Linked DNA regions of Rhinolophus ferrumequinum. The protein of the gene in region 1 interacts with the protein of each later gene in a pairwise test. Links are inferred from orthologs where the notes say so. Each region holds a gene or a part of one and is shown on either strand. Other genes may lie near its edges.

Region 1 (8,044 bases):
TGCACAAATCTCCAGGGTGACCTCTAACAGCCGTCTGCCCTGGAGTTCAGTACTGACCCCTCCCTGGCTCAATCTCTTCTTCCCCAGGCTCACTCACTGGGTAACACCTCCAAAGGCCCTCTCCACCACAAAAGCTGTGATCTTCTCCTTCACAGCCCCTGTGGCTGCATCTGTAACTGGTGTCTTGGCAAAGACTGTGAAGATCTCAGCCAGGCCCCCATTACTGTGGAAAAAAAAGGGTTATCAGGGCATGCAGGACAGCAGTGGGGCCTAGAATTGGGCAGAGATGGAGAGGAGGGGAGAAATGGAAGATTACCTGATCCAAATCTTGCTTCCATTGAGAGTGTAATATTTTCCACAGGGGCTGGGCACAGCCGAGGTTCGGATGGAGGCTGCATCTGACCCACTTGAGGGCTCGGTTAAACAGAAAGCCGCTAAAGTCTCCCCTGTTGTGCAGAGAGCGCCTTTATGCTGTGCCCACTGCTGGGTCCTGATGGGCTTTGAAGGCCCCTCAGTGCCCCCGCCCCGATACCCATAACACCTCTGGTAGTATTCAGTTTCTTCCCATGTCCATGCCAGCACCCTGTGATGCCTTCCCAGAACAACCCCCAACCCACACGCCCAACTATGTGGTGGCTAAGTAGCACCAGCCTAATTGGTATCGAGCCCAGGACACCCCCCAGGTGGCTCGTAGGCCTGTCTCACCTGATGCCAGTTTGGGGAGGTATTTTTCTCTCTGTTTCTTCGTGCCAAAGAGCAGGATACCTTTGAAACCGATGCTTTGATGGGCCCCCAGGGTGATGCCCACACCAAGGTCATGCATGCCCACGATCTCCACCAAGCGGGCATACTGGAGGAAAAGAGGGCATCTGGGGCTGTAACTGGCTGCATGCAGACCTACCCTTAGCAGGAAAAGTGGGCAATAGGGCACGCCCTGATCTGGGCATCCCCACACAGTGCGTAGAGAGGAGGACCGTGGCAGAGAAGGACATTGGCTAGCTGGTGTCCGTACTACCCTTACGTTAAGGCAGTACCCACCTTAGAGATTCATTAGGATTTGGGAACCCGGGTGAGGTCCATGGCCCTAGTGGGCCTGCATGTAGTTTGGTGTGTGTGGAGCAGGAGGGTATACACATTGGGAGAGTCAGCATCCCATAGACCGCCAGATGCTTGGCAGAGACCTTAGCCCCAGGGTTGAGGGAGGAGCTGAATCTGGGATACTGGGAAGTGACTGAGGGGCTGGCTCCCTCACCTGGGTGTTGCAGAGGCCCACGCCACCCAGTTCACTGGGCACTTGCAGACCAAAGGCCCCCAGCTCCTTGAGGCCCTGCATGGTGGGCTCCTCCACCTGCTCCAGCACGTCATTCTTGGCAGGATCGTTCACCTCCTGGGGAAGTCACAAGATCCCACATCCAGGCTCCTTTTGAACTTCTTAATCTCTTCCAACCCATAGAGGACCATGCCCTCTTTCCCAGCCCCAGTAATTCCTCACCTCGAAAAAACGGGACACAGGCCCCACCAGTTCTTTGAGAAACTGCATCTGCTCCTCGTTGAGCACTGCAGGGCAGCAGGTATGGGCAGGTCATGCCAGGCAGGTCAGGGGAACCCACCTGCCCCCACCTATCTCTGACTAACTCTTACCAGACGGGTATGGGAACACCTGATCCGTGGTGAGCTGGCCCTTGAACATCCCCACAGCAAAGGACTTAGATTCCTGCGCCAGGAGAAGGGGGTTTCAGGGGGCTGGCTGAGGTGGGTCCACACCTCGCTTAGCTCCTCCAGGCTTTGGGTCACATACCGCCTTGGCCCGTTTCTCCTTGGTCGAAGCCTCAGAAGAGAGAGAATCTGACTTGTCCAGAACCGCCTGGGGAAAGCGACAGTTAGCGCGGCCGGGAAAGGGCTACCCAAGTAAGTGCCCGGGAGAGCTAGGTGCCGGGGAAGGGCGGATCCGATGACCTTTCCCCTAGTTTCGTCCCCAGGCACCCTGGCCTGCCCTTTCCCCTACTTTTTGTGCCAAGCCAGTCGGCAGATGACTGGCATTAAGAGGGAGACCCTTATCCACGTCAGGGAGGTGGGAGACGCGTCGGACGCCCACCCCGAGCATCCCTCTTCCACCGTCCCAAAGCCGCCGTCACCTACCTGAGTGGCCGCATTGGCATAAGGTCGTCGGGCAGGGCATGGCTGGGGCTGCCCCAGGAGAGAACAGGGCCGCGAGCTGTGGGGAGTTGGGGGTTCAGTCCTGGCCGGGTCCCCAGGCCCGCTGCCCCCATCCCTCCCGGCGTATACACACCTCCCGCACCCCAACCTCAGCAGCTGTCGCCCCACTCTCGGAGCCGTCCTCGCCGCCTGCATCTCTGAACCGCTCCGGCTGTCGCTGCTTTGAGCTCTGACCTAACGCTCTACTCCCGTCAGCCAAGGTCTGAGTCCCCCCCACCTCTGACTCATCCCCCACAATGCCCCGGGAGGCGGGCGGAGCTTTCCGGCCGCCAGGGCATGCTGGGAGCTGTAGTTCCGAGTGCTCCTGAGTCCTGCATTCTGGTTGACCTAGGGTGATCTCCAAACGTCCCTTGTCTTCCCAAAACTCCTTCCTCCCGTCTGTCCGAGCTAGAGAGTAGTCTTCAGAAGGCGTGATGGGATACGCTGGGACTGAAGAAGTTTGCAGCCAGAGGGATGTAGGGTAGACTGAAAGGAGAACTTCCCAAGAAGAGTTAGAAAGGAGAGGTGGGAAGAGAGAAGTATAAATAGAAGCAGTGGCATAGAAAGACGACTCTGGGATCTCTCCAAGTCCATCTCCACAAAAGGGAGAGGAATGGCGGGGTGGGGGACTCGAACTGGGGTGTGACTGTCCTAAGCATATTCTCCTGAGACCTAGGAAGTATCACTAACTCTGGAAACACCTAAATTTTCACAGTAGCAAGGACCTCCTCTTCCCTCCTGGAGTTCACTGCCTCCCATGTAGGGCCACTGAGACCTTCCTCAACATCTGTCTCTCTCTCTGCAACCCCTTCCTTCCTGAGACCATGTGCTCAGGCTAGACCTCTGGGTAGATGGAGTCTTCCCAGGCCTGGGAAGAACTATAGGAATTCTCATGTTTCCACACTTCTCTACTCCTGGGCAACATGTCCCAGGTAATTTATGCCCATCTTTCTGCCATTCTCACTGGGGACAGGCACTGGAGGAGAGAGAGCTGAGCTCAGTTTCCTTTATTTTTGAGCTATTGGGGCCTCCTTGGGGGTGACCCTCGTTCTCAGTCCCTTAGGAAAGTGTAGCTAAATTGTGCCTGGCTTTGGGGAGAGGGGCCCAGGGTATGTGGAACAAGGTGGTGGTGGAGGTGCCTGGGGACCTAGGGAAGAATGGGACATCACTGGGTTTGTTCTGAGAACGCTTATTTGACCTAAGAGCTAGAATTGGGTGGGGAGAAGGCAGCTCAGCTCTAATCCTGGGGGATTAGGGAGATTAAAGTGAGAGAAGAGAGAGATGTCAGAGAGACCAAGAGGTGAAAAATAGAAGTCCTTGTGAAGCAGAGGCCTGGGGGTGGAGTGTGGGGCTGAGACTCAGGATCCTTCTCCCTGACCTTTCCATAGAGTCTGGGGTGAAAGGGCAAAGGCTGGGAAAGATGAGGTGAGTGAGGGCATTGGTCCTCACTTCCTTGTTCTAATTCGCCCACCCTCACTTGCATTTCACCAGCTCCCAGGTCAGCCCTCTGGCTCCTGGCTCCCCCACTATTGCGATGGGCACCCCCTCTCCTCACAGTGCTGCACAGTGACCTCTTCCAGGCTTTGCTGGGTGAGTAGTCCCAATTTTCTGAGGGGCAATGGTGGAATGGTCTGGCCTAAGCTTGTGAGGGCAATTACTGAATTTGGGGGCTGGTTGGGAGCCTGGAGATTATTTGGTCCAAGCAGGAGTTTCATGCAGGGGTCTGGCTAACAGTGTCCCTCCCTGAGGGACTATCCACTAGCCTTGGCTGGAGGAGCTCCTCCCTTACCAGAAAGAAGGAAGCGAAGTGATGGCAGGGGTGGCCAGGGAGGCAGGGGTGGGGGAGGGTAACTCAGTGCTGTTCCTGTGACAGACATCCTGGACTATTATGAGGCTTCCATCTCAGAGAGTCAGGTAAGGGGGTGAGGGTGGGGGCCTGACTTCCTGAGGGAGGAGGCAGGGTTGAAGGGGTAAGCAAAGTACTCCTGATATTGAACTGAGACTTTGGGATCCTGGGGACAAAATCCTGAGTTAGGGGCACAAAGAATGCACTCTCCTGTCCTTTAGCCCCTTCTCCCTCTGGCTTCCTCCTTTCCTTTGCCTGCCCCCATTTCTGGCACTAAAGAGTACAGGATATAATTACTTTGCGGGTTTCCTTCTGTGAATCCTGAGGGAGAACTAAGCCTGGGATTCCCTCCTGCCAGCCCCTCCCTCAGCCCTGCCATGGCCTGTCCAGTATTTAAACAAACATGGGTGCTCCCAGCCCAACTATGGGTGCTTTCTCCTCTAATAAATGAAATCCACCCTCGTCATGTCTGCTGTCCTTGCTGGTGGTTGGCCAGGTCTCCATGTTTGCCTCAGGGCCTCTCCGCTTCTGCTTCCATATCCTTTCCCATTATCCGGGTTCCTGCCAGCACTGAAGGAGTTAACTCTGCCAAGGCACCCCCCCATTCTGGCTCCTCGCTCCCTCCCTCCCTCCCCCTGCTTCCTCTCTCCTCCTCTCTCCCCTTCCCTCCTCAGCTTCACCGCTCCCTCGGCCGCTGCCGCCTCCAAGCCCCCCCCCCTCCCCTGCAAAGGCCCCTAGCCTCTGGCCAGTAGGCAAGACACCCCCCCCACCCCGGGGCTCCCCGAAATCCAGTTTCCCTCCCCCACCTCAGCTCATGCCCCAGCCCCCGAGCCCCGGGGCTGCCAGCCCCCGGTGCCCCCGCCCCTCCTGAGAACCGGGGTGTGCTCCCCAAGCCCCCTCCCCTCCATAGGGGACCCCCTTTTAGGGCCCCCTTCCCCTCCCTCCCACGCTCCCCTACCCTTCCCTTCTCCAACACCCTCTTTCCCCTCTCACCCCTCCCCCCATCCTGGCTCCCCCTGCAAAAGTGGGGTGCGGAGGGGGGAGGGGTGAGAACCCACGGAGGGGAGGAACAAAACTCCGATGAAGTCAGAGCCCCTAACCCGCCACCGCGGCCAGGCCCCCCAACATGGACTGTCTCTGTATAGTGACAACCAAGGTAAGCCTGATGGGGGGACTCTAAACTGGGGGGAGGGTATGAGTTTGTGGGGAGGGGTTAGACAGGTCTAACCTGGGGCTGGGGAGCATCAGAAGATGTATTTGGGGTCCTAATTTAGTTTTGGGGTTTCCATTTGAGAAAACGCTGGGTTTGGCCACAGGTGCCCCCTGGAGTGATCTCTTTGGTAGAAGTGGAAAATTTGGGGTGTTCTGTGGTTTGGGGGTCTGGTGGTTTTGGGGGTTCACCAACAATGTTTGAGGGAGACTTATTTGAGGAGAAGCCTGGCTCACATGGGAGTCCTGCTTGTGTATGTTAGAAGGTTGACTATGTGGGGGGGTCGTCTTTCCTCCTGGTGAACAAGCTGGCTTCCAGGTGCCTTGTCCAATTTCAGGGGTGTTCTGGTATGGCATGGGGGTAGGAAGTTATTGGTTGTGAGTGCCTGACTGGTCTGGGGGTATCAGACTGTGGGAAGGGGCTTGCTTTCTTTCTATAGAACCAGCATCTCCTGGTAGATACATTTGGGGGTGCTCTCAATTTGAGGAAACTGTTAATTTAGGGTGCAGTCACATGGAATGGGGAGAGCTGGGAGTTGTCGGAGAGCTGGGGCCTGACATTCACCTGAGGGAATGGACCAGGTGAGGTTAGGATCTGGGGCACTCCCATGGGAGGCAGAGGGTTGCAGCAGCTGAGGTTGCCAGCTCCTGAGGTTTTGGAAGAGAGGGTATTTGAAGAGGGGAACCAGGTGGGTGGTGCAAAATTTGGGGGTGGCCTAAGTAGGTGCCCAATACCCCCATCTCCTCCCACACTCTATCTACCCTTGGTTGAGAAAGAGGGAGAAGAGCAGATGGAGGGGAATGTTCCTGTTACCCCTGACACTTGGGATCATAGTCGGGGAGGACACCTGGATTTAAGGTGACTGGAGTGAAAAGAAATAGGACGGCTGGGCTGGCAGCAGTGAGGATCTGTACTAGGGTGTCCCTGTGGTTGGAGCCTGGAAAGGGAAGAAGAGCTTGGATGGGGAGCACAAGCAAGCTCCTGGTGGATGCAGAATACCTAGGTCTTGGCTGTGAGACTCTCGGACTGGAAATCTGGATGCTTGGTGTGTGCAGGGTGGCTTGGGCGGGTGGCAGGCAGCTGGGGGTTGGGGGGTGGGACAGGAAGTGGGGGCCGGGGAGGCGGGGTCTGGGTGAGTCACTGGCTGGGGAGGGGGTTATATTTAGTGGGAACTGCAGCTTCTCAGAGGAGGGAGTTGAGGACACACATGTTCCCTGCCACAAACTCACACATGTGTGTACACATGCGTCGTGTGCGTGTGAACATGGATGGAAGAGGTTGGGGGCTGAGGACCTTTAGGTCTGGAGCCCCCACCCTATCTCCAGGGCTACTTGCTGGTCTCCTTTTCTGTGAGCTTTCTCCTACGCTGCTTCTTTTTCCCAACCCTTGTAGTGTCAGTAGATTTTGGGGGCTTCAGTTTCTCTGGCCTGCTCTCCTTTAATGTCCTCTGGTTCTCTGCTCCTCCTGCCTCCAGCCCTTAGCCTTCCCCTTAGCCTTAGGCTCCCTGGCTGTGGTCCCGTGTGCAGGTGTACACAGAAAGCCAGTTGGAATGTGTGGGCTCTGCTTCCAACACGTGAACACATATGTGAGCGAGGGTGAGGGGCTTGCCTGCACTGACATTCTGGGAAAGGGGGCTTATCCATATCTCTTCCAGACTCTTACTTCTTCGATAGAGCCCAACGTTGAGCATCCATTAAGTAAGGAGCCTTGCGCAGAGAGGATCATACATTTGGGATCCTACAGAGGCATGGAGATCCAGGGTTGCCACATTCCTTGGCCGGAAAACTTGTCAGTCTTGGGATGGCGGGGACTCCAACTCCCATAAGGCCTTGAGGCACAAAATCCCTCAGTGTTAGGGGATTGCTGCCCGTGGGGCTGTTGGGAGTTGTGGTTCAGCTTTATCCAGGGCAGTGGAGGGTAGCCCTGGAAGAGCCAGGAGGGGACACATGGCTCTTGACCCCCCAAAATAGGGGGTGCTTAGGCTTTGCGGTCGTTGAGCTTCCCAGCTCCATCTGAGAGTCCTCCATCTTTCATTGCCTATATTTAGACTCCTGCCGCAGTAATTTAAGGAATACTTATTGAAAGCCTACCTTGTGCCAGGCCCTGTGCTTTGTGCTAACTCTGCCTTTACAGCTAACACTTATTCTTACGCTGTGTGTCTCTCTCTGCCGGTGTCTCTCGATCTCTGAGCATCTCTTTCTCCCACTCCGCCCCCATCCCTCCCTCTTCTCCCCGCGCTGCTGCCGCCGTTGCCATGGTAACCGGCGACGACTGAGGTTGCGTGGTGGACTTGAGGGCCGGGCGAGGGTGGCGAAGGGCGGAGCAGAACTAGTGGGGGAGGGGGCGAAGTGGGGAAAGACCCGGGGTATTTGGCCAGAGCCCAGGAGGCGAAGCGGTTAAACCCTCCGGGTGGTCCTTATTGGGCAAAGCTAAAATGACGGGGGCGGGGCAGTTTGGCCAACAGCCTCATTCATTGGCCGACAGGGGCGTGGCGAAGGGACAGTGTGGGCGAGGCCGGGGTGGGTGGGGGGGAAGAGCAAATGGGCGGGAAGTGGACGGAGGCGTGGTCTCCTGGAGGCGGGTGGGCGGGGTCTGGCTTACTCTCAAGGGAGGCGGGCAACAGCCCTTGGAACGGGGCGGGGCCTTAGGGCTGGGTAACCTGAAAGTGAGGGCAGGTCTGGCCTGGCAGGGGCGTGACGTGGTCCCTTGTGTCGAAAGAAGACAGGGTTTGAGGGGCTTGTTGCCTAAGTCACTGCGAGGCGCGGGGGTCTTTGGAAGGGAGAATCCGGGGG
Region 2 (6,982 bases), on another chromosome or scaffold:
CATTGATTAAAACTCTTAGTAGATTAGAAATAAAATGGAGCTTCCTATAGCTGATCAAAGAAGTCTCCAAAAATCCTACAATAAATATCATCACAAAGAAAAAATGTCAGAGCATTAAAGTTATAAACAAGACAAACATACCGTACAACAGCACCACTTCTATCTAACATTGTATTCTAGGACTTGGTCAGCACAATAAGACAAGGAAAATAAACCAAAGGCAACAGGATTATTTTATTTTCCTAAATATACACATACATATATATTTCTATAAATATATACATATACATATATATAGTTATTTTATATTGTGTCTCATAATTTTAATAGTCGAATTCTTTACAGATTTGTTTTTGCTGGTTCTTATTTTTGGTGCCATGTTTCCTTGTGTGTTTGGTGATATTTAACTGTGTGGTTCATTTTCTTTGGAACTTTATCTGTGGGAATTATGTGAGGCCTGAGATGAAGGTAAATTCCTCTAACAAAGATTTACATCTGTTTTTGCCAGACACAACCAGTCTGGGATCATTTTATACTAAATTCTTGATTTGAGATTTTCCAGATTACCTAACTAGAGTGAATTTGATTGCCTGTGCTGTGAGGTCTAACTTGTAGTTATGGATTCTCAGGAGGTGATTCTTCCTCCCTACACTCAATGCTATTGCAAAGGCTTTAAACAGGTAATTTTTCTTGCAATTTCCTAGGTGTGGAGACGGGGTGAGTTTTTTCTAGTTCACCTGTACTTAGAGTAGAGAGAGCCATTTTAGGCCTTTAGTTTATGCACGGGAGTATTTGCTCACCTTGGGCAGACCCTGCACTTTATCTTCTTTCCCAAATGCCCTGAGAGATTATGAAAACTGAAGTTCAATTTCATCTGTTAGCAAATACCCCTGTATGAGTTATTTATTGCAACAGTATTCTGGCATAACACACCATTCAAAAATTCAGTGGTTTAAATTAAGCATTTATTATTGCTCAAGAGACCTCAAATTGGCTCAATAGTTCTTCTCATCAGTCAGCCGTGGTCAGGTATATTTCACATGTTTGGGGATCAGCTGGCTATAGGCTGGTCTAAGATGGTCTTGGCTGGGATAGCATGGCTGGCTTACACTTTGTCTCTCATTCTCTAGAAGGCTATTCCAGGCTTGTTCTCACAGTGGAGGCAGGAAACCAAATGAGAGAGTAGAAGTATACAAGCCTCTTAAAACTAAGACTTATAATTGGCATACCATGACTTCTTCCACATTCTATTGGCCAGAGCAAGTCACACATCACCCAGATTCAAACTATGAGAAAATAGTCCATTTCTTGATGTAGGGAGTTTCAAAGTCATATGGCAAAGGACATGGATTCAGGGAAGAGGTGAATTGGTGCCATTTTTGCAACCAATGTATCACAGCCCTTGGGATAAAGTTAGCTTCAGTGTTCTGCTTACTTCTCTGGGTCTGCCTTCACTTAAATTTTAGCTGGAGTGATTTTTATTTCCTTGCTAGTTCATTGATGCATTTAACAAGATTTAAAAATATATTTTATCCACCTGTTTTTAAAAAAATCATTTATCACATTTTCAGTGAGAGAATCAACCAAACATCTAGTCTGCCATACTGCTTGATTGACATTTTGATGAGTTTCCGTCTCTGTATATATGTTATGCAGCTCTCTACCCTAATTCTCTCTCCCAATCTTTGAGACTCTACTCAAACGCCTCCTTTATGCTTCTTTACTTCTTTGAACTGCCTCTCTTCATCTAGGCAGAGCTGGCTGTTGCTGCTAGACTCTAAAAGTATTTTGTGCCCGTCTCTATTGAGGCATGGGATTCCTAATATAGCAATCATAATTTGTGGAGTGCAGGGCCCATTGCTAAAAAATGATTAAGAATTTCAAGATGTGACATCAGAGCATTAAACCAAGAGAGGGACCGTTTTAAGTGTGGGCTCTGTGTGACTGTACAGCACACACTCCCATGAAGCTGGCCCTGATAGTAATTATTGGTTTATATCTCCATCTTCCTCGTACATCATGGATGAGTGTGAGAGAACACTGTCCAAGGTAAGCCTATCTGTTTAATCTTTATGACCCAACAGGCTAGCAAAGTACCAGCTACAATCAGTAAATGGTTGTTGAATGAACAAATGAAAACTACACTATGCTATAAAACATATCAACCCTTTGATAACAGCTTTAAGAAAAAAAGTAGAAAACCATGTTAAATATCTATTTATTTTAAGATGCTTTGCAATTTCAGAGTAGTTAACAAAATGTATGTCTTAGAACTGAAAAAACGTTATGGTACCTTTTAGCATTCTACGTGATGGCTGTTCTTATGCTTCATGGAAACTGAGTTTCTTTTTCAGTTCTAAAGTGGGTTCCTGGGACCAACTTTCTATCTTGTTTTCTCTGATATCTGCTCTTGGCTGATCCCTGGGCTGGGAATTATCTGTGACCTTAGCTCATGATTCAAAAGTCTTACTTAAACTGGGTTTGCAGGCAGCAGGAGAGGTGACCAGTCTGACAATCTCCCACCAGACTTTTAGGTTTCTTTGGGAAAGGGCTCTCCAAACTCCTTTGTGCCATTTATGTCATGTGACGTCTTTAAACATCTCCCCGGGGAAAGGGAAAAGGCTTGGCTCTCAGTTTTAACTCTTTTGGGCCTGTAAATTCTACTTTCTGTGCCTCAGTTTCTCCCTTTGTACAAGGAGGAGACCCAGTGACCCTAAAGGGGTACAAGGAGAAGGGAATTGTTGGGTGAGTGTTGAATCAGAGCTACTTTAAGGTCTGTTCCTAGATAGGACAGTGGGTCTCCCAAACCCATACCTCATTACCCCAAAGCTTTCAAGATCAGAGAAGGAGGGGGAAGAGGAACAGGACTTTGAGGATGCACACTACTCGCCACCTCAACTTTTGCTCGTTCTGGGAAATCAGAATCCAGAACCAGCCCCTACCCCATATCTTCAGCCCCTCCCCTGCGGCTGCCCCAATGAGCCCCCCCACCCCCTTCCCTGCGTGTGCCCATTACAGCATCGCTGTGGGCGCCAACACGGATTCAAGCCAGGAACTGCTGCAGTCAGCTTTCCTCCGCCTCTCCTGGCTCCTGCAGCCTGTGTCCTGGCTCTGCAGCCTCTGGCTGTGCTCCGGACAGTACCCTTTTCTTCCTCCACCCCGCCCCAGCCTTGGCACAACCCCTGGCTCAGGGCCTAGAGGTGGGCGGGCACCGTGGGCACAGGTGGGGGGTCCCAGCAAAGTCGGCAGGTGTAGCGGGGTTCTCCCTCTTCACTGGAGATGCCTCGGCTGTAAGGACTGTGGGTGGAGGACGCCTGTCAGTGGCTCGGAGGCCGGGCACAGCGCCCCACCCTGGCAGGGGCTGGGGCAGAGGAAGGGGGCTCCTTGAACCGAGGCCAGGAGCTGAAGTCGGGTAGCTGACCGGGAAAACCTGAAGGAGAATCTCCTAAGGGGATGTGTCTGGGGGGCTTGTGTGTGACATTCAGGGTGTGACTGCCTCGATGGGGCGCGAGACCGTGTCTGAGACTGTGTGACTGTCTCCCCAATAGCCCGCCTCTGTGCTTAGGTCCTTGTGCCTAGGTCGGCTGTGAGTGGCCGTGACACTGTGTGCCTGTTCCTGGATCCCCGGCGGACACTAAGCCGGTGGTCCCGTGGGAGGGGACACTTATTTGAAACCCCCAGCTAGGCCTCCCCAGTGTTGCCGCTCAGCGAGGCGGGAGCTCCTCGGAGACCCCTGCAGCCGCCCGCCGGCTGCGACCTGGGCCCTCCTGGGTCCGGTGCGGGGGCGGGGAGTTCGGTCCCCCTCCCTCTCCGGACTCGAGGCTCGGCAGCCCTGCGCGGGGGCGGGGGCGGGGGCGGAGCGCGCGGGCGGGATCCCCCCGCCTCCCCTTCCTGGTCCCCGGGAAATCCAGCCTCCGTGGCTTGGCCGCCTCCCGCTCCGGCTCCCGCTGCCGCTCGGCGCTCGCTCGGGGCTCCGCAGCCGGCGCGGCCCCTCCGCTGGGGGCTCCGCAGTGCCGGGCCCCATCCCTGCCTGCCGGCCCGCCACCGCAGCGCCCCCGGCCCGGGCCGCCGGCACCATGTAACCCGGCCGGAGCCCGAGCTGGGCCAGGTAAGCCGCGGGGAGGGGTGGGGACGGGCCGCGCTCGCCGCGCCCTCTGCAGCGCCCCCATCCTCGGCCAGGCTGCGGCCCGGCGCCGCCCACGCCCCGGGCTCCAGCGGCCTCGGCTCCCGGCCCCGGGAGGGGCCAGGGCTGGGCCTCCTCCGCTGCTCCCACCCCCGCCCTCGCCCTCGCCCGGGTCTGGCGGCCCGCGGGCCTGGCCCGAGGGACGGGCGGGGTACCACTGGGAGCGAGGACCCACTCTCTGGGGTAGCGCCTCGGGGGCTGGCCAGCCCTTGCCCCGCCCGGCCCGGCAGGAGGCTTGGGTGAGGGAGGGAGTAGCCAGCTGGCTTGTTGGGGGGTGGGGGAGTGGTGGTGTTGGGGAGACCCGGAGAGAAGTTTCCTCTGCAGGTGTGTGAGTGTGAGTGCGTGTCACTGTGTGTCTGTGATGAGTGTGTGAGTGTGTGGGTCTGTGGGTGATTGTGCCAGTGAGTGTATACAGTGAGTGTGTGTGTCATTGTGGGTGTGTGCGTGTGTCATTGTGCGTGAGTTTGTGTGCGTGTTAGTGGGTGTATGCAGTGAGTGTGAAGGGTGTTGCTGTGTATGTATTCACGGACGTGTGTGTCACCACATGTGCCTGTGTATGTCCTGTGAGTGTGTATGTGAATGGATGTGTGTGTGCCAGTGTGACTGTGTCTCCATAAGTGGGTCCAGGTATCTATGGTCTGTATGAGTGTGTGTGTGTGTGTGTGTTGGTTGTGTGAGAATGTATCTGAGCAGGCTTCACTCTGAGTCACCCATACCTGAGCTTTTCCCCCCTCCCCCCTGGGGGATTCCAGGTAGTTGGGGGGCATGGGAAAGGGAGATCATACTTTGCAGAGGTCAGGGACTCCTCCCCAGGGACTCCTCATCTTCCCTCATACATACTCAGGCAAGAGCTGCATTGCACTCCCCCCTTGGTCCCCACCTTCACCTACCTCAGGGGGTACTTTCTGCGATGCTCTGGTTGTGTCCTTTCTGTTTGCTGGGGCCCATGGTGGTAGTGGGGTGTGAGGTGAGCTGGAGTGTGTGTGCTTCTTTTTGGGGCCTGGGAACTTGTGTCATCTCAGTAATGTTTCACCAAGGGACCTTTAGAGCCAGAAACCGAGGAGGCCAAGCTTCTGCCCTGTTCTTAGTCATCAGAGCAGGTGGCTGTCCCCCAAACTTCCAGGCCCTAAATTTCCAAGTTCTGGGTCATTGGTTCAGCCTGCTTGCTCTAGGTGGGTCTGTGCTGAAGCTCTTTGAAGTAATAATAATAATAAAAACAATGCCTTTATGTTAATGCAGGGCTTTTGAAAAAACGTTCCCCTCTCAACTCTTCTTATCTCGCTAATAGTGCTGGGAAGCAGGAAGGCCAGGTTAAGCCATATGAAATTGCCAATATTCAACTGTTTTTGTTTTTTTACCTGTAAAAACAACAGTTTCATGTAGTTCAGCCTAATATGGTGCCAATTTATAGATGAAGATGTTGAGGACTGAGAAATGAATTGCATTTCCCATAATCCCACACTGTTAGTGGTACAGAAAGCTTCCAACCCAGGTCATTTGGTGACACAAGGAGCTGGGTTGGGCGAAGGTTAGAGAATGTTGCTTCCTGCTGTGCTCTCTCTGACCCTGGGGGTACGGATCTCTATTTCTGCCCAGCATTCTCTGGGTTCTGGGGCTACTTCTGCACCCAGCTGCCAAGGCCTAAAAGGGAGAGAGAGAGAGAGAAGGAGGGGAGGGAGAGGCTTCGTGAGTTGGCAGTGAATCAGGGTCTAAAAAGGGAGCTGGGAGGGCTAGGGTGGCAGGTGTTTCTAAAAGGAACATGAACATAAGATGAACATCCTTGGATGCCACCCCCACATGCCTGACCCCCACTGCCCCACTGATCTGACAGGCAGTGCCCACTGCATTTTATGTCAGGGGGCTCATGTCCAAGAAGTGAGCTTGTATGTAGCTATCGAACGATGGCTAGGGGAGGAACCTTAGAATTAACTTGGTCCAACCTCTTAATTATAAAGTGAAGACACTGAAGCCCAGGAAGGGGAGGGGACTTGCCCAAGGTCACACAGCGAATTTGTGGGTTCTTGGCTAGTTTTAGCTCAGGAACTTTACAACTCTCCATGTTACTTTCCATTCCTGGAACCCTCCCCGCCCTCCTCCCTTCCCCATGCTCATTAGAATTGGGCATAGGGGATTTGGGGAGAAAAATTAAAGACTCAATAAGCCTGAGACTGTAAGTCCTTCAACCTGGTGCCCCTTTCCAAAGAGAGGGAGCTACAGATGTTCCTGGGGATGGGGATTCCTAGACGTATGTACCAGCAAGGTAGGACCTGGGCTTGTCTTGATTCCTGCTGGTGAGAGGCTGGCACTGCTGCAGGCCAGTCTCCCAGACTTTCTTCTGTGGCAGCGCCTGCTTTAAGCTACTGCCTGGCACCCCACATCATCTCTCTCCAGCTGATGCTGGGGCTTAAGCTGGCTGAGCTCCATTTTTCTTCATCCCACCCAGTTTCTGATGCATTTTGCCTCTAGCTAGCCTGACAATTCCTTACTTTATGGATTCTTGTTGGGTAGAGAAACTTCTGGGGCTTGTCTGATTTTGGAGTGGTCTGTAGTTACCATTGAACTCTTTTAAATTAAACCTTCCAGGAGTCTAGGGCAAATGCTAAGGATAATTGTTTCCATTTTACAGATGGGAAGACTGAAATTCAGAGAGGGACTTCTTGTTTGTTTGTTTTTTCTCTTAATCTACTAAGATCAGTAGCAGAGGTTTTTGGAGTGAGGGGATAAAGGGAGCAAATGCTTTTGTCTAGAGGGGCTTAAACAGACCCCTTCTAATGTCTTACCATCCCCATGGTCAGGAAA

What was found. The genes of interacting proteins can lie anywhere in the genome.
Region 2: the proteins of DLG4 (region 1) and DLGAP3 interact in a two-hybrid assay, tested with the Homo sapiens proteins (2 studies listed by BioGRID and IntAct). The link is inferred for Rhinolophus ferrumequinum from reciprocal best matches to the Homo sapiens genes DLG4 and DLGAP3.

What each region holds. Positions count from the first base shown.
Region 1 is NC_046304.1:11,613,547-11,621,590, forward strand, and holds the start of DLG4 (disks large homolog 4), read left to right. Parts: upstream 1-4,970; 5' UTR 4,971-5,168; coding exon 5,169-5,198; intron 5,199-8,044. Other genes in the region: ACADVL (very long-chain specific acyl-CoA dehydrogenase, mitochondrial), read right to left, coding at 98-223, 317-446, 706-850, 1,253-1,387, 1,493-1,557, 1,642-1,714, 1,799-1,864, 2,140-2,215 and 1 more. UniProt on the Homo sapiens protein: Postsynaptic scaffolding protein that plays a critical role in synaptogenesis and synaptic plasticity by providing a platform for the postsynaptic clustering of crucial synaptic proteins.
Region 2 is NC_046292.1:24,258,276-24,265,257, reverse strand, and holds the start of DLGAP3 (disks large-associated protein 3), read left to right. Parts: upstream 1-3,909; 5' UTR 3,910-4,108; intron 4,109-6,982. UniProt on the Homo sapiens protein: May play a role in the molecular organization of synapses and neuronal cell signaling. Could be an adapter protein linking ion channel to the subsynaptic cytoskeleton. May induce enrichment of PSD-95/SAP90 at the plasma membrane.